Linked DNA regions of Arabidopsis thaliana. The protein of the gene in region 1 interacts with the protein of each later gene in a pairwise test. Each region holds a gene or a part of one and is shown on either strand. Other genes may lie near its edges.

What was found. The genes of interacting proteins can lie anywhere in the genome.
Region 2: the proteins of BEE1 (region 1) and RCN1 interact in binary tests that used the Arabidopsis thaliana proteins (3 or more experiments, as listed by UniProt).
Region 3: the proteins of BEE1 (region 1) and HEC3 interact in binary tests that used the Arabidopsis thaliana proteins (3 or more experiments, as listed by UniProt).

What each region holds. Positions count from the first base shown.
Region 1 is NC_003070.9:6,328,964-6,335,211, forward strand, and holds BEE1 (BR enhanced expression 1), read left to right. Parts: upstream 1-2,434; 5' UTR 2,435-2,500; coding exon 2,501-2,857; intron 2,858-2,960; coding exon 2,961-3,086; intron 3,087-3,187; coding exon 3,188-3,253; intron 3,254-3,683; coding exon 3,684-3,752; intron 3,753-4,036; coding exon 4,037-4,114; coding exon of another isoform or gene 4,115-4,156; exon of another isoform or gene 4,157-4,526; coding exon 4,527-4,613; 3' UTR 4,614-4,893; downstream 4,894-6,248. Other genes in the region: AT1G18390 (Serine/Threonine kinase family catalytic domain protein), read left to right, coding at 1-356, 457-972. UniProt on the Arabidopsis thaliana protein: Positive regulator of brassinosteroid signaling.
Region 2 is NC_003070.9:8,948,640-8,956,086, forward strand, and holds RCN1 (ARM repeat superfamily protein), read left to right. Parts: upstream 1-2,522; 5' UTR 2,523-2,671; intron 2,672-3,034; 5' UTR 3,035-3,060; coding exon 3,061-3,453; intron 3,454-3,547; coding exon 3,548-3,794; intron 3,795-3,990; coding exon 3,991-4,103; intron 4,104-4,236; coding exon 4,237-4,316; intron 4,317-4,537; coding exon 4,538-4,679; intron 4,680-4,762; coding exon 4,763-4,843; intron 4,844-5,025; coding exon 5,026-5,130; intron 5,131-5,215; coding exon 5,216-5,398; intron 5,399-5,479; coding exon 5,480-5,572; intron 5,573-5,742; coding exon 5,743-5,882; intron 5,883-5,981; coding exon 5,982-6,048; intron 6,049-6,137; coding exon 6,138-6,260; 3' UTR 6,261-6,521; downstream 6,522-7,447. Other genes in the region: AT1G25480 (aluminum activated malate transporter family protein), read left to right, coding at 1-167, 352-489, 591-860, 960-1,096, 1,190-1,336, 1,623-2,237; AT1G25500 (Plasma-membrane choline transporter family protein), read right to left, coding at 6,798-6,977, 7,069-7,302, 7,401-7,447. UniProt on the Arabidopsis thaliana protein: The A subunit of protein phosphatase 2A serves as a scaffolding molecule to coordinate the assembly of the catalytic subunit and a variable regulatory B subunit. Seems to act as a positive regulator of PP2A catalytic activity.
Region 3 is NC_003076.8:3,025,183-3,029,660, reverse strand, and holds HEC3 (basic helix-loop-helix (bHLH) DNA-binding superfamily protein), read left to right. Parts: upstream 1-2,546; 5' UTR 2,547-2,585; coding exon 2,586-3,260; 3' UTR 3,261-3,552; downstream 3,553-4,478. UniProt on the Arabidopsis thaliana protein: Required for the female reproductive tract development and fertility.

The sequences.
Region 1 (6,248 bases):
ATGGACGAAGCGTAGCCGTTAAACGGTTATACGATAACAACTTCAAAAGAGCAGAGCAATTCAGGAATGAAGTTGAGATCTTAACGGGTTTACGCCATCCAAACCTCGTGGCTCTCTTTGGATGCTCCTCAAAACAGAGCCGGGACTTACTGCTAGTGTATGAGTATGTTGCAAACGGCACGTTAGCTGATCATCTACATGGTCCACAGGCAAACCCTAGCTCACTTCCTTGGTCTATTCGGCTCAAAATCGCTGTTGAAACTGCCTCTGCCTTGAAGTATCTCCACGCCTCCAAGATCATCCACCGTGATGTTAAATCCAACAACATCCTTCTCGACCAAAACTTCAATGTCAAGGTCAGTAACTCACACTGGTTATTACTCAATCTGGTGGGATTTTATCGGATCATAATCTTAACTTCTTTCTGTGTTTTTTTTACTGTTTTCGACATTTTAGGTTGCGGATTTTGGACTCTCTAGACTGTTTCCTATGGATAAAACGCACGTATCTACCGCTCCACAAGGAACTCCGGGATATGTCGACCCGGATTACCACTTATGCTATCAACTCTCAAACAAAAGCGACGTGTACAGCTTTGCGGTAGTGTTAATGGAGCTTATCTCTTCACTTCCAGCAGTCGACATCACAAGACCGCGCCAAGAGATCAACCTCTCGAACATGGCAGTCGTTAAAATCCAGAACCACGAGCTCCGCGACATGGTGGATCCGTCACTTGGGTTTGACACGGATACAAGAGTGAGACAGACGGTGATCGCTGTCGCTGAGCTGGCGTTCCAATGCTTGCAGTCGGATAAAGATCTTAGGCCATGTATGTCGCACGTGCAGGATACGTTGACGAGGATACAGAACAATGGATTTGGTTCGGAAATGGATGTTGTAGATGTGAACAAGAGTGGACCGTTGGTTGCACAGTCTCCAGATAGTGTCATTGTGAAATGGGACAGTAAGTAAAATTAGTCGCACGGCCACTAACATTGTATGTGTTTATTATTTGTATGTTTAAAATTGTCAGTTAACAGTTAGAGAATGGTGTTCGTGTTCTGTATTAGATGATATTTTTGGGAATGTATATAATGATGATCTTGTTCCGATTCCACCTAGAGAGGGACCGTAACATACAAAACTTCGTGATTGGGCCTGACCGGACTAAATCAGCAATTTTGTATTGCTATTTGCTGCCAACTGAAACTATTTTTTTATTAGTGGTTAATTTTATTTTTTTACGGAAAAGGTAAAAATATTTGAGACATCAAAATAATGATGGTAATTAAGTAACGCCAGCTCAGCGACGGCGATGACTATCCACCAATTTAACGTCAGAAGAATATATATATGTATATTGAGCTTATCTTCTGTTTCCAATGTAAGTGGAAAGTCCACTGCTGCAATCACAATGTAAGACCTGCATCTATGAAGTTTTAATGAAAGACACTTTCAGAGAAAAAAAAAAAAAACTTCTGTTTCCAAAATTTCCTAATTAAAGCACACCAATTTGGGCATGGATGCTTTACTACTTCTATTAATGAACAAGTTAAAGAGTAAGTTGTCTTGAATGAATGAAATTGCATGTGAATCAAATCCCTCCACCATACATAATAGATAATCTATAGTAATGGCCCAACTAAACATTGACATTTGTTGCAACCTAACTCTTTCCTAAAAGGAAGAAAAAAAAAAAAAAAAAAAAACTCTTTCCTAAAACTCAATGTGTTTGATCATCACAAGGACAAACAAAGGAAATCTCTAGTATGCCGATTAAAGTGAAAATTTGTCTTCACCAATATAAATAATTTGGTAACTTAAACTTTAACTAAAGATTCATAAATTGGCGTCAACTTATGTAAAAGAACCTTCATATATACTTTCGTTTATCTCCCTATATTTTTATACATACACATATTTATAGTATTTTTGTCGATTAATTGGCATTGGCCATTTGGAAGTTATAATTAAGTTGGCAAATGGATGTGATCTCTTACCCTATACACCTACATAAAAAACCCTCCATGCAAAACATTAATGGATGTTTTCATTAAAACAAGTTTTGATATCAACTTAGTTTGACTAGCTACATCCATTTCAATATTTTCTTCCCAATATTAATAATAAATTTAAAGATAGACCACTAGTTCTTAACCTCACACCAAACTGACTAGAAATGTTCTTCCCCCTTGCAAACAGAGAAAGCCTAATGGAACCCACGACCAAACATTGGTCCTACTTTTCCTTGTTTGGACATATCTCCCCGACACACAAATCCCAGAACGTTCACTTGCCCACGTGGCTCTCCCTTTATTTCTCTCTTTTTCTTTCTTAATTTTCTCCACATTTCTTTTTCTAAAATCATAAATTAAATTAATAAAAAAATCCAATCGAACAATATAAAAGTCTCAAGTTTTGTATCAACCAGTCTAAAGAAGTTGTCAGAAAAAAAAAAAAAAAAAAGTGTCAAGAAGATCATATCTCAATTCATTATATTATGGCAAATTTCGAGAATCTTTCTTCTGATTTTCAGACAATAGCCATGGATATATATTCTTCCATAACTCAAGCTGCAGATCTAAACAACAACAACAGTAACCTTCATTTTCAAACATTTCATCCTTCCTCTACTTCTCTCGAATCGCTCTTCCTTCATCATCATCAACAACAATTACTTCACTTTCCCGGAAACTCTCCAGACAGTAGTAACAATTTCTCTTCAACTTCAAGTTTCCTCCATAGTGATCACAACATCGTCGATGAGACCAAGAAGAGAAAAGCTTTGTTACCTACTTTGTCTTCATCAGAGACTAGCGGCGTCTCCGATAATACGAATGTTATTGCCACTGAAACAGTAATTGATCTCGAAACCCTAGCTAATTATCTTATCATTTTCATAACTTATCATTAAAAAGTTCGTTTAAAATAATTACTTTTATTGTCTAAAAAATATCTAGGGTTCTTTGAGAAGAGGTAAGAGGTTGAAGAAGAAGAAGGAAGAAGAAGACGAGAAAGAGAGAGAAGTTGTTCATGTGAGAGCCAGAAGAGGCCAAGCCACTGATAGCCACAGCTTAGCAGAACGGGTAAAATTGCTTAAATTGTCTATATAAATTCATTTTTTTTATAAACGTGGTGTATTCATTTAAATTTATATACATGTCTACACTCTATATCAAAATTTCAGGTTCGGCGAGGGAAAATAAACGAGAGATTAAGATGCTTGCAAGATATGGTGCCCGGATGTTATAAGGTAATAATGCAAAGATAAATATAATAGTTTAACATTTTCAACTTTTCATTACTTCTTTTTTAATATATTTGTAATCAAAATAGAAACTAATGGCCATTAAACAATAAATAGCATATGAAAAGGTCATCATCGGCATTAATTGTCACTAATTATACTTGAATCAAATTTAAGCATTTTATGATAAAAGTGATACTTTTAGTTAAACAAGAACATATGTATCCAAAAGTATTTTTAACATGCATGAGTGTGATTTTAGCTTTTTTCTTTGATACCGCTCATAATATTTTCCGAAAATTGTTCTTCGGATTTTTTTTTGTTTTTTTTGTTTACAAAGAACTCAGAAAAAAAATTGTAGAAAAAGTGATGTGATTTTCTATTGATTTAGTGGTGCTTACTTCTTATAATGAAAGTGTATGTTTGGTGGGTGCAGGCTATGGGAATGGCTACGATGCTTGACGAGATAATTAATTATGTCCAGTCTCTACAGAATCAAGTCGAGGTAAATAATTTAAGTTGTAATCATAAACTACATATATCAATAAGACTTTGTCTTCTTGTATTTTGGAGAAAGAAAAAAAAAACTAGAAAATGGAGGTTTCATGAGATGGGAGGTTCGGTAAATACCTACTTTAGTAGTACTTTCCGAAACACGGCAAATCTTAGATATTCGAAAATTACAAAAAAAAAACGAAAATCTTACCACACACTTTAAAAAACTTCCAAAACACAAGCTTTAATTTTATAAATTACTCAATTTTGTTTCATGTTTTTTGTGGATTTCAGTTCCTCTCGATGAAACTCACTGCAGCAAGTTCGTTTTATGACTTTAACTCAGAGACAGATGCAGTTGATTCCATGCAGGTACTAGAACATTCTAATAATGTTTTTCAATTCTTAAGATAAGCATATATATAATTAATTAGTGGTAGTCTGGTAGAGATGTTGTAATGGGTCCGGTATGTTTTGATCGAGTCGGTTCTACAAAGATTTATTCAAAAATACAAGTGTTTGTAGTTTAGATTCAATCTTATTAGACTATAATATATGATCACGCGGACTATATGACCCGCAATTAAAATATGTTCGACAGGTCAAATCCAGCCTTTGCATAATTGATCTTGTATGGTTTATTGGTTTAAGTAGTCTCTTTTTTTTTGGCATTATATTTGCATGGTTTAAGTCTAACTAGTTGTTGTTATGACAATTACTTTATTTTAACGTGATAAAGTATTTCTATTAGTATTGAATAATATGAATGGAATACAATTGGCAGAGAGCAAAGGCACGTGAGACAGTGGAGATGGGGAGACAAACAAGAGATGGGAGTCCTGTCTTCCATTTATCAACATGGTCCCTTTGACTTTTGTTTTCTCTTTTCTCTTTTCCTTCTTTTTTATTGTTTTCGAAATTATTCTTCTATTTATTTGGATGCGATATGTCATATATACGACCCAACTTGGGATAATATTTGTAATCTGTATACTTGTAATTTCGACGATATAAATTTATTGGTGACTTATAATTGTCATGTAAATATCTCAGTTGTCCTCTCCCTTTTCGCTTTGCTATTTCGTTTGCTTGGCACCTTTTTCCTTTTCCTCTTATGTAATTGTCCTCTTAAGTTATGAAATGATCAGAAATAAAATTCAACAGAATTTTTTTATTTTGTTTCTGCAAATGAAGTTATAAATCATGGATGAATTAGCTCATATGTCAAAGTGTTGATGAGTGAATTGACGATGATGGGAAGAGAGAAATCAATTGTAAATTGTATATATTACCAAATCTTCAATGAAATGTGATTAGTCTTTATAACAAAAAGAAATGAGCGTTACCAGTCGGTTTAAATATTGATTTTAGTTTATTAATTTTAGGGTCGAGAGTTCTTAGTCTGATTACAGACATGCATGTGCTTTTGATGTCTAGAGTTCCACTTCACTTTCCTACGTAAAGTGGGTTAAAAACGGCTTCGGCTATAGAATTACTAAAAATGAAGATTAGTTTATAATATAAAACGATATGTTCTTGTTAAGGGATTATATTTCCATTCATATGTAATTTGCTTTTGGTTACTAAAAACATTTTCCTTTTTCAGCGAGAAAGGCATAGTTACATATACGATAAACTGGAAGAGGCAAGTTGCGCAAGGTTTGGTAACGAAGAGGAGTTATGGAACCAAAGAGACTTTGTCGGTGTAAATTAACAAAAACACCCTTCACTTCTGTAGCTTTCCAAAGACAATGATGTGTGTCTCCCAAACCAAAAACAGAGACAAAATAGTAAATTGTGATGCGAAGCCTATGGACGTGTTTTACAGACGAACAACCAATCTCTTGAGACTTCCTTCCTCTTTTGTGGTCTCTCTTATTATCCATATATGAATATCTCTTATATATTTCATATTTTTTTCAAAAATAATTCTAATAGCGACGGTTCACTTCACAGGATCTTACGGATGTTGCCTATTCATAATCTTTATGATTGATAGAACAATTCAGATATTTGTATGATCGTATATATAAAGAAAGTGAGGGTATAATAATACACTTTTGTCTTTCTGTTATTCTCTCTATACATGTTTCTTTATTTCTGATTTTTTTTTTTTATTATAATTTTTTTTATGACATTTTGGACACTAGCTAGTACTCATTCCATATGCATGGCAGGTCGTAGCCGAGGTTTAAGTTTTATCTTTGTAATGCAGGTATTACGTAATTTACCCGAGATTAGTATGGTGTAGATGGCTTATGATAAAATCCTTACAAAAATATTTCGAATATAATATTAATACATGATAGATATGTTTATACATAGGTTCATGCAGGAATTAAACTTCTTAACAAAAGAAAAAAATTCCGAGAGCTAAAATGCAAACTTGTTAATAACTACTTCAAGAGCCAAAAAATTAATAGAAAGAAAGACGAAAAAGATGCATGCATCTCATGGCATTCATAAGGACAGCTTGAAATGGACCATTCGTTGAAGGATGGTCAAT
Region 2 (7,447 bases), 2.6 Mb from region 1:
CGAGATGGGTCGTTCCGATCGTCGGAAAGTTTACTTCTCCGTTAAGATGGGGATGGCTCTCGCACTCTGTTCTTTCGTCATCTACCTTAAAGAACCACTCCGTGACGCTAGCAAGTATGCTGTTTGGGCGATCCTTACTGTTGTCGTCGTCTTTGAGTATAGTATAGGTACTGTGACTCACGAATTCTATAGATTCAGATCGATTCTGGGGTTGTTGTTGTTCGATCAAATCTTCCGGATTTTGATTAAAAATCAAAACTTTCGTCTTCTTCGATCTAAATTCTCATTAGATCTGTCTTAGGATTACTTGTCTTCAGAGATCTAATTTGGCTCTAACTCTGTTTTTTGAAGGAGCAACATTGGTCAAAGGATTTAATAGAGCTATAGGAACACTCTCTGCTGGAGGACTTGCTCTTGGCATAGCTAGACTCTCTGTTTCAGCTGGAGAATTTGAAGAACTCATTATCATTATCAGTATTTTCATTGCAGGTTGCACTATTTCTCTCAATTTTTATTAGAAATGAACCTTTTTTAAATAAACATACTAACTTTATTTTTGATACTTGTGAATCTGTTGGTTTGTCTATCAGGTTTTTCTGCAAGTTATTTGAAACTATACCCGGCGATGAAGTCGTATGAATATGCATTCAGGGTGTTTTTGTTGACATACTGTATTGTTCTTGTGTCTGGAAACAACTCTAGAGATTTTTTTAGCACTGCTTATTATAGGTTTTTGCTTATCCTGGTTGGTGCTGGTATCTGTTTGGGTGTGAACATATTTATACTTCCCATTTGGGCTGGAGAAGACCTCCATAAACTAGTTGTTAAGAATTTCAAAAGTGTGGCCAATTCACTTGAAGGTAGAGAGATACGTCAAATGGCTGTTTTCTCTTGTTTCGTTTCGGGTTTTGGCTGTTTTTTTATGTCTTGTTTTGTTTGTGCTTTCCTAAAACTTTCAGGATGTGTTAATGGGTACTTGCAATGTGTTGAATACGAGAGGATTCCTTCGAAGATTCTCACTTACCAAGCTTCGGATGATCCATTATACAGTGGATACAGGTCTGTAGTCCAATCTACGAGCCAAGAAGATTCTCTGGTGTGTTTTCCTTAGGACACTTTTGTTGAGCAGCAACTAGATAACTTGAAAAGGATTTAGATGATAAGATACGATGACCTCTTTTTTCCTCAGCTTGATTTTGCAGTATGGGAGCCTCCACATGGACCATATAAGACTTTCCACCATCCATGGGCAAACTACGTCAAACTTAGTGGCGCAGTAAGGCACTGCGCTTTCATGGTCATGGCAATGCATGGCTGCATTCTTTCGGAAATTCAGGTAACTTACCATATTCTTGTTAAATACAACTTTATCTATCATAGCAAATGAGGTGCTATAATGGTTATTAGAGACTATACCAACCTGCTTCAAATGCTACTAGTACCTCTTCGTGATTAACTAGACTGTTACTCTGAGAAGTCGGATATTTGTCATATAATTGTTGAGTAGGTGCAAAGTGGGATCTCCTAGTTTACTGTTGTTACTAGTGAATGGTTTTCTTTGAGTTCAATGCTTGTCGTATGCCCTATAAGACTTGTGATATCAATTGGTGTGGGATTTGCAGGCAGCTCCAGAAAAAAGGCAGGCTTTTCGTCAAGAACTTCAAAGAGTTGGAAACGAAGGAGCCAAAGTCTTGAGGTTGTTTGGAGAAAAGGTGGAGAAAATGGAGAAGCTAAGCCCAGGGAACGTTCTCAAGGATGTTCAAAGAGCAGCAGAGGAACTACAGATGAAAATAGACAGTAACTCCTTCCTACTTGTCAACTCAGAAAGCTGGGCTGCTATGAAAGAGAAAGCCGAAGCTGAAGAAGCGCAACAAAACTATCACGAAGCCAAAGACGACGAGTCTAAAGTGATTCAATCCCTCAGCCAGATATGGGACAATAACAACAACCCTCATCATCAGAATCAACACGCTGGTAATGATTCTCAGCTATGGATATCAACAGAGAGTATGATGCTTAGGAACCGCGAAAACTGGCCAAGCGTCTCTTTCATAGGCGGTTCTATGATCAATGAGATAGAATCCAAAGTATATGAAAGTGCGAGTTCTTTGTCGCTAGCTACATTTGCGTCTCTTTTGATCGAGTTTGTTGCAAGGCTCCAAAATATTGTTAACGCGTATGAGGAACTAAGCACTAAAGCCGATTTCAAAGAACAAGTTAGCGAGACACGGATATAGAAAAAGCTGGACTCTGGACCAGACTCAGTAGCTGCTTCAGCTCCAGGGATATAGTTGATTTTGTATAGAAAATTATATACATTATTGCTTTGTTTGTTTGCTGTCTTGAAATAAGTTCCTAATTCCTTTTTGTTTTGTTTTGGCAAAGTCATAAACTCAATTGGAAAGTTTTGTTTTTCTTTCATTGTATCAATTGAATCAACTGTTTAATTTTTTAAAGCAAAAAATTGATTAAAGCCCAACATAACCCAATCCTAAGAAAGCCCAAAATGGCCCAATTAGACACTTTCGTCATTTTATATCTTTCCCTTTAATAAATCCTTCGTAAAAAAAAATCAAACGCAGAATATTATTTTTCTCGCTCGCGAATTCCTCTTTCTCACCTTTTCTCGCTCCTGGGAATCTGAAGCAGTTCTTCTCCGACGCCTGGATCGGTAAGTTGATTTCCAGTTTCTTCTTAACGAATCATAAGATCTCATCTCTAAACCTTCATTTTCCGATTCACATTCCCTTTAATCCAACTTCGAACCGGTGAATCTGAACCCATTTCTCGCTTCTTCTGTTTTATTCATACCCGATTCGTTTCAAAATCTGCAGTATAGTCTTAATCTGTTTGTGCAAGTAGAGAAAAATCAATAAAGCCGAAGATAACACTCGAGTGGCTATAATTGTTTTTTCCCAGGATCTGTAAATGATTTCTCGTATTTATTACTAAATATTTTATTCGAGATCCGAAAATATCTATTGTTTCGTCTCTTATAGCAATGAGCTCATAGGAATTATTTTTGGTGTTGCAGTGATTTGATTCGAACTTTCACATAAGATGGCTATGGTAGATGAACCGTTGTATCCCATTGCTGTGCTTATAGATGAGCTTAAGAATGATGATATTCAGCTTCGTTTGAACTCGATCCGTCGCTTATCTACTATAGCTCGTGCTCTTGGAGAGGAGCGTACAAGGAAGGAGTTAATCCCTTTTTTGAGTGAGAATAGTGACGATGACGATGAGGTGCTTCTTGCAATGGCTGAGGAGTTAGGAGTTTTTATTCCGTTTGTTGGAGGAATTGAGTTTGCGCATGTTCTTCTTCCTCCTTTGGAATCTCTATGTACTGTTGAAGAGACTTGTGTGAGAGAAAAAGCTGTGGAATCGCTTTGTAAGATTGGATCTCAGATGAAAGAGAATGATCTTGTTGAATCTTTTGTTCCTCTTGTGAAGGTTAGTTTAGGAGATTTATGTAGCACTAGATTACGCCGTTTTGTTAGTTGGTTCAATCAAAGCTTTTTTTTTTGTTTTGTTGTTTGTCTTGTAGAGGTTAGCGGGTGGTGAATGGTTTGCAGCAAGAGTTTCTGCATGTGGTATATTTCATGTTGCATACCAAGGTTGCACTGATGTGTTGAAGACTGAGTTACGGGCTACTTATAGCCAGTTGTGCAAAGATGATATGCCAATGGTGCGAAGAGCTGCTGCATCTAACCTGGGGAAATTTGCTACAACTGTCGAGTCTACCTTTTTGATTGCTGAGATCATGACTATGTTCGATGATCTTACTAAAGATGGTACTTAATGTTTGAATATATCGTACTTTATATGTGCTCATCACTTAGAAATAGTTTGCATAGACCCAAGAGTATGGTAAAGAGATCACATTTGAATTAATAAACGCTGTTTGATGAAATATATTGGATACTTACCTCTTCAGAAATGTTTGTTTTATCTGTGCTTATATTGGTTAAACTTTAACCTTCATTTCAGACCAAGATTCTGTGAGACTATTGGCTGTTGAAGGGTGTGCAGCTCTTGGAAAGTTGTTGGAACCTCAGGATTGTGTTGCACGCATTTTACCTGTTATTGTTAATTTCTCTCAGGTGAATTGAGCTTTGTTTTTTTCATTCATGGATTTTTCAGTTAATTGTCTGCTGTTCCATGTTTAATTTTCATCGGTAAAAGCTTGCTGTTCTGATGTTTTTCTATGGTGTTTGTATTGATTTCTGAGAGCAGGATAAATCTTGGAGGGTGCGCTACATGGTTGCTAATCAGCTATATGAACTTTGTGAGGCAGTGGGTCCTGATTGCACGAGGTATGTGTTTTGTGACATTGTTGATTTTTTTGTCATCCTTGCTAATCTAGGCTTTCGTTCTCGTAAAACAGTTTTGTGACCTTCAAACAAATATGCATCTAAGAGCGTCTATTGGAAGTTTTCTTTATTCTTTTTCGTTCATATAAGAGCCTTCCATGGTAGTTCTATGTTTGTACATGTATCTTTTTATTTTGACACAATTTATGTTATAATATCTCTAGGACGGATTTGGTTCCAGCATATGTGAGATTGCTAAGGGACAATGAGGCTGAAGTGCGAATAGCAGCAGCGGGAAAAGTGACCAAGTTCTGTCGGCTTTTGAATCCAGAGCTTGCGATTCAGCACATCCTTCCTTGTGTGAAGGTAAGACTCCTTAAATTCTATATAAACGAGTTGTTTGATGTCCCCTGTCTCGTAATATTCTGATACATACTGATGTCTGGCAGGAATTATCATCGGATTCTTCTCAACATGTCCGCTCTGCTCTAGCTTCAGTAATAATGGGGATGGCTCCTATCCTTGGGAAGGTATGAACTGAAGATAGCCAACATTTTCGCATCTTGTGACAATGTTCTGAGATTTAATTTGTTTTATGGTTTTCATCAACAAAATCAGCCATACCTTGTGTTATGGCGTGGTTATACCAGCCCCAACTGGTGTTGCAGACCTTATCAAAAAATTATTAACATACTAAAATCTTTCAATACAGGACTCAACCATTGAGCATCTGTTACCAATTTTTCTTTCCCTTTTGAAAGATGAATTTCCTGATGTGCGCCTTAACATCATAAGCAAGTTAGATCAAGTCAACCAGGTTTGTTGCATCTCTCTTGTGTGCTTTAGATACTACTTTTATTGCTTCCTTATTTAGTTGGTGACTGAATTATCTTTTACGGCAGGTTATTGGAATTGATCTACTATCTCAATCCTTGTTACCGGCCATTGTAGAACTTGCTGAGGATCGGCACTGGAGAGTCCGACTTGCAATAATAGAGTATGTTCCACTGTTGGCCAGCCAGTTAGGTATAGGATTTTTCGATGACAAGCTCGGAGCCCTTTGCATGCAATGGCTGCAAGACAAGGTTTACCTTGAATCTTTGATGTTTGCATAAATTTCTCATTCACTTGTTATTGTAGATATTGACACTGTTCTCCTCCTTCAGGTCTACTCTATCCGCGAAGCTGCAGCAAACAACCTAAAGCGCCTCGCAGAGGAGTTTGGTCCTGAATGGGCAATGCAGCACTTAGTTCCCCAGGTATTCTTTGAGCATTTTATACTAAAACCATCTGTCTGTTTATCTTATTGTTGATCTATGTCAAGTACCTCACCTATAACATCTAATCTCCAGCTTTGGTCCCTTTTCTTTGGATATCACTAAAGCTGCAAATATTGAGATCTCCAGATTGACCTTTATCATATAAACAGGTATTGGACATGGTCAACAATCCGCACTACCTACACAGGATGATGGTTCTACGCGCAATATCTCTCATGGCGCCTGTAATGGGATCAGAAATCACATGCTCTAAGTTTCTTCCTGTGGTTGTTGAAGCATCAAAAGACAGGTACAATAGATAGATTAGAGGATATGAATAAGCCAAACTAGTTTAAGAACACTTCTTAGTTTTTAATGTGTTGTTGTTGCACACCTCTTATCTCTGCAGAGTTCCAAACATCAAGTTCAACGTTGCCAAACTTCTGCAATCCCTCATCCCCATAGTCGACCAATCAGTACGATCATAACAAACATAACTCAGTTATATCGAAAACTAATGGAAATTGTTGAATTTTAATGTTTTTGCCGTGTCAAAAATTTGTAGGTGGTGGACAAAACAATCCGTCAGTGTTTGGTGGACCTGAGCGAAGACCCTGATGTTGATGTTCGTTATTTTGCAAATCAAGCACTTAATTCCATCGATGGTTCCACAGCAGCACAATCCTGAATTGTTTTTTTTTCATATGTATGATCGTTAAGTTAAGTTTCTATTATTCGTGTTCTCTGCAATTTATTTGGTTTGTTTGTGTAAAACGCCATTTTGGTTGCTGGCTATGAACTGCAACTATTTTTGTTAGTAAAATTGTATTACCTTTTTTACACTTTCTGTTGTTCCAAACCTTATACATTCTTCTTAGTTTACTAATGCTAACACTACTCCCTTAGTGAAACTATTTGAGATAGAGTGAAATGCGTGTGGCTATGTTTGGTCTTCTGACTAGTTCTTGTTTCAAACTTTATCCAACCCCTCTAGATCAACTTTGTTCTATTCAATTGATTTTGTTTTTCTAATAAACACAAAAATCAATACATTAGATTTTGATACAAACGCCCACAGCCTCCTATTCATGATTCAACAAATAGAAAGCATAAATCATTTGACAAAATAATTTTAGCCACAAGGGTTAGCCCGCTTTTAGCACCCTCTAATAGCATAATATTCTACAGTTATATCTCCTATTTTCCAAGAGGAGGCATAGGCTAATCAAGCGGTCGTCAAAACTTCACGGGCTCGCGAGCTACGATGTTGGAGACGACGGTGAAGCACCTCAGACATCTCAGTGTAGAAATCAGCATCCCATCTCTGAATCAACAAAGGATCTTCAGCAAAACATATGTATATCGATGTCACAGCGCTTTCGACTACCACCATTCCTAAACCCACCTGAACACCACATTGGATCAATGAAACAAAGTGAACAAGTTGGTCATGTAATTTTTTGGGTGACTAAAAGAGTGCACAAAAGAAAACTCACAAGAACCATTCCCATCAACATAGCCGTAGATGCAACCATTATAACTCGGTCACTGTACTTGATCCAAGCCCATATACCAATGCAAGAGCCTGTGATGAGTCCTCCAAAGATGGTTCCCATCAGAAGTACAGCACCAGAGCAGTCATATGCAACAAGTGCCTCTACACCTGTCGACTGAAACAATTCCCATGCGTCTCTTGCTGATTTGTTGAATCCTTTTCCATACACTGCAATCTGATAATTAACCAAACGTTTTTTTCATTCTGAGTCTCATTGCTCATAGGAGGGAGATGATGAGCTTGTTTAAAAACTGTCTATATTTATATATATACCTGGACGTATGCATACTTGTTAAAAAAACGAACTAGTGTTTCAACTA
Region 3 (4,478 bases), on another chromosome or scaffold:
CAACACTGAGTTTTTCTTTGTTTGTTCTTCTCCATGGTGGAAGCAGAAAGAGGAAATCCAAAAAAGAAAGAAAAAGAGAAGTCGCTGTAAGAGACCAGACTCTGAGGAAATGAGGGTGTGGTTCTTTGGGAATCGTAACGCACAAAGACGGAAGATTGTATCGCTATTAATAAAAAGGAGGAAGAAGCACAATTGCTGAAAAAAATAGTTATATATGTATGGCCTATATATATATATAGTTATTTAATGCTTTTTTATGTACGCGATAATTTGGATGAAAATAATGGAGATTGTCAGATTTTATGATTCAATCTTCATCGGAAAATGTTGCATAGTTATTTCACCCACTCACGTGTATATGTACTATATACATTTACACTAGATTCATCTAGTTAGGGTTTACGGTTACACTTTATACACAGACGAAATGGGGGCCGCTTGAGCTGTCACATGTTTAAACCATATCATAATAGATAAGCTAGTGATAATTTGCTTAAAAGAAAACATGATTTAGTAAATCAATTGCATTCAATTTTTGTTTATTACAACTCGGTATACATTTCGAAACATATTATACAAGCTTTATAAACCATTATGATATTTCACATCACAGTTGCAGAAATGTACATACAACCAAAAAGGAAAAAGTAATAATAAAATACTATATGTATTCTAAATGAAATCATAGATTTAAGAAGTAAATTAAATTTATGTGTCTTATATATTCTATTATTTTACATGTTTTTGTGGAAATTTAGAAACTAGCTGTCCAAAATGAATCATTTAACTTTCACATGTATGAAAAATATTAATAGACTTAATTAAAAAACACTCTAAATTTATGATCAGGCAATAAAAAAATTGTTCATTGCTCCAATCCATCCGAATTTGTATTATATAAAATACATGGCAAAATAAAACTTCTTTTAACTAAACTATATTATATTATAAGTCTTGCTCATGACTGTTATATACTTTAATAATATGATCGAATGCTAGCTATTATATTAAATACACAGTTACTCTTTTAATTGCGGTTTTCATTTTAAACCGCTATAAATGCGAAAACTATATAGTGTATACTTATATCGAATCAAATTAATTTCCAAAACTTGTGTGTGTATAAGTAGATGTTCATACATGTAGTTGGCAGTTGGGTGGATTTAATAAGAATATAATATACAGTGAACAATGGATTAATACCAAAGAAGTAACCCTATAATGCATGATTGCAGCCTGCATGCGCAATTTGTATGATTATAATGCAGACCAAATCATAACATATGTGCAAAATATACGCTTATATCTCATATATGTACATATACATGTGTATTTATACATTGCTTTTGTGTTGAGGCATATGACATAAGAAACTTGTCACATTAAATCAGAACCGTCTGATTTTTGTATAAACGGATCGAAACAACGTATATAAATTTGCCTCTTTTGAAGTCTCATAAAATTTCGTGTATTTTACGGATTTGTGTTTGTTTTATACACTTGTATACAAGAACGTTGTTACGTAGATGTGAACTTTGTTAATAAAAAGCAGAAATTGCTTCATGGAAAATGATATATTCACCACCGTCTTATATAAACGAGTCACGACGATGATACACGTCTTTCTTATTAATGACAATCATGGATAACACCCAAATGTTGAAGAAGCTAAGGTGTCCCCATGCGAGTGATTTGATGTTTGTTATCCTTATAAACCTTTAATCACGTCGCAAGTTATAGAATAGCTTTGTGGAAAAAAGCAAGTTGATCATTTGTTTTATAATAATATATAACATTGCGAGTTTCACACACAATTTACATTCAATATTGGACTCCATCGAGGGGAGAGAGAAAATCACGACCGTTGATCGGGATAAGAGTATAGGATCAACAAAATGTGCTATTTCGTGAAGAGACAAGAGAATGAGAGAAAATTTATCAAGATTTCCTATTTTAGTGAATGGGTTTTGTGAAGAGAGAAGGAGATAATTAAAGGGATTGTAAATTGAGAAGTCAGAATAAGAGCACACAAGTGGTGACATCTTTTGTGAATCAAAGAGAAACTCATGTTCATATAAAGTAATTCACATTCTTATAGCTAGTGGTTATTAGTTTATTACTTTGGTGAAAGCCACTTTCTCGATATACCCTAAATTCAAGTCTCAATGTGGGAGAGGGAAACCCTAGCCAACTCAAAACTATCTCATTAGTCAACTGGAGCTGCTCATTAAAAAAAAAAAAAAAAAAGCGATTATGCCAACTATATGTATACAAAAGTGCTACAACGTTTATAAACATTTTCGGAGCATAAAAAAACTTCTTATTCAACTATATACAATTTAATCTTTTTCTTTGGTAACGACTAGTGACGTCCACTTATTGAAAAGATACATATAAATAAAATTATTCTTTATTTTTTCTCCGAACCAAAATCCTTAATTGCATCACCAACCTAACCCCTCATCATATGATCACCTTTCTTTTTTTCCTTTAATATATATATATGCTCACACACACACATATATATATACATATAAGCATCGCCTCAAGCATTAAAATTTTTACGAACCAAACAAACAAAAATTATGAATAATTATAATATGAACCCATCTCTCTTCCAAAATTACACTTGGAACAACATCATCAACAGCAGCAACAACAACAACAAGAATGATGATCATCATCATCAACATAATAATGATCCAATCGGTATGGCCATGGACCAGTACACACAGCTCCATATCTTCAATCCTTTCTCTTCTTCTCATTTCCCTCCTCTCTCTTCTTCCCTCACAACCACCACTCTTCTCTCCGGAGATCAAGAAGACGACGAAGACGAAGAAGAACCTCTAGAGGAACTCGGTGCTATGAAGGAAATGATGTACAAGATCGCAGCCATGCAATCGGTTGACATCGACCCAGCAACCGTCAAGAAACCCAAACGCCGTAACGTGAGGATCTCCGACGACCCTCAGAGTGTGGCGGCTAGACATCGCCGTGAGAGAATCAGTGAGAGGATCAGAATTCTTCAGAGACTCGTGCCAGGTGGCACTAAAATGGATACGGCTTCAATGCTCGATGAAGCTATACGCTATGTCAAGTTCTTGAAACGGCAGATCCGGCTACTCAATAATAATACCGGATATACTCCTCCGCCGCCGCAAGATCAAGCTTCTCAGGCGGTGACGACGTCATGGGTTTCACCGCCACCACCGCCAAGTTTCGGCCGTGGGGGAAGAGGAGTAGGAGAATTAATCTAGACAAGATGACATTTCCATTAGTAGTAACTAAATTATGCTATAATGTGTGAGTAATGGTGCAATTATGGAAAGTGTTTATATATAATAAAAATGGATACGAAATAAGGGTTTGTTAGGATATATAATATATTGTTGTTGACCGTGAAAAGGTTGTGGAATAATCATAACGGTTAGCTTGAGTTGTGTACCACCATATATTTAATATTATGTTATCATTTCGTATATAATAATAAGTTCTTGATTTGGAGTTTGGTTGTATACAAGTTTTGGCCGGGCATTTTTCGGGCATAAGAACCATGACGCCATCAAAGAACCCTATTTAAATAGTGTTATCATTACTGTGGACTTTTGTCTTTGTATACACACAACGCATATATTTGTGAAGTACTATATTTTAGAGCATATAATATGAATGTACTCTATTGCTTCATTTTCATCTTTTTACGTACATACCTCACTTTGAACGTTAATACCTATACATATTGAAAATCGTTTTGTTATGATTAGAATAAGCTTTAAGAATTCCTAAATTACAATAAGCTTTAGGGCTTTTTTTTTAATATATAGCTTCACAACTAGCAACGAAAAATCCAAAAAGAAAAAAGTTGTTATGAAAATAATATCCGTACGTTTAGTCTATTAGATTATACTTGTTAGTATCCGATTAAACATCACCTGAAAACTAAAAAGTCTAACAGACTAAACGTATCCGATTATACTTGTTGTAAAAATGTTAACGAAAAATGTTTAGCTATAGTAACGTTTAGCATAATGAAAATTACGACAATCATCCCATAAAATGATGTTTTGTAATATAAAGTAATCTCAAATTACAACAAACCGATAAGGTATACAGATACTCTACTCCAGAAAGAGAGTATATATCGAGACATATTATAAAGAGGATGGTGCAGAGAAAATGTACTTGCTCGTTTTGTCTTCGAATTAATGAATAGAAGTTCAACTAAAACAGTTGCAAGATCTCTTTTTACCTTCCCAATAATAAAAAGAAAACCTTTGACTACAAACAAGCATTAAACCACCAGAGCTTTGCTCCACACTTGTTGGTCAGAAAATCTCAGAAAAGTAGCAGAGAGGTTAATTCAAGGAAACCTATGCTCCTTGTTCACTTCACTCATGGATACTTCCGCTGACTTTTGTGTCTCCTCACATTCATAGGTTTTAATAAAGACACAATGAAATGTCAGTGAGATTCAT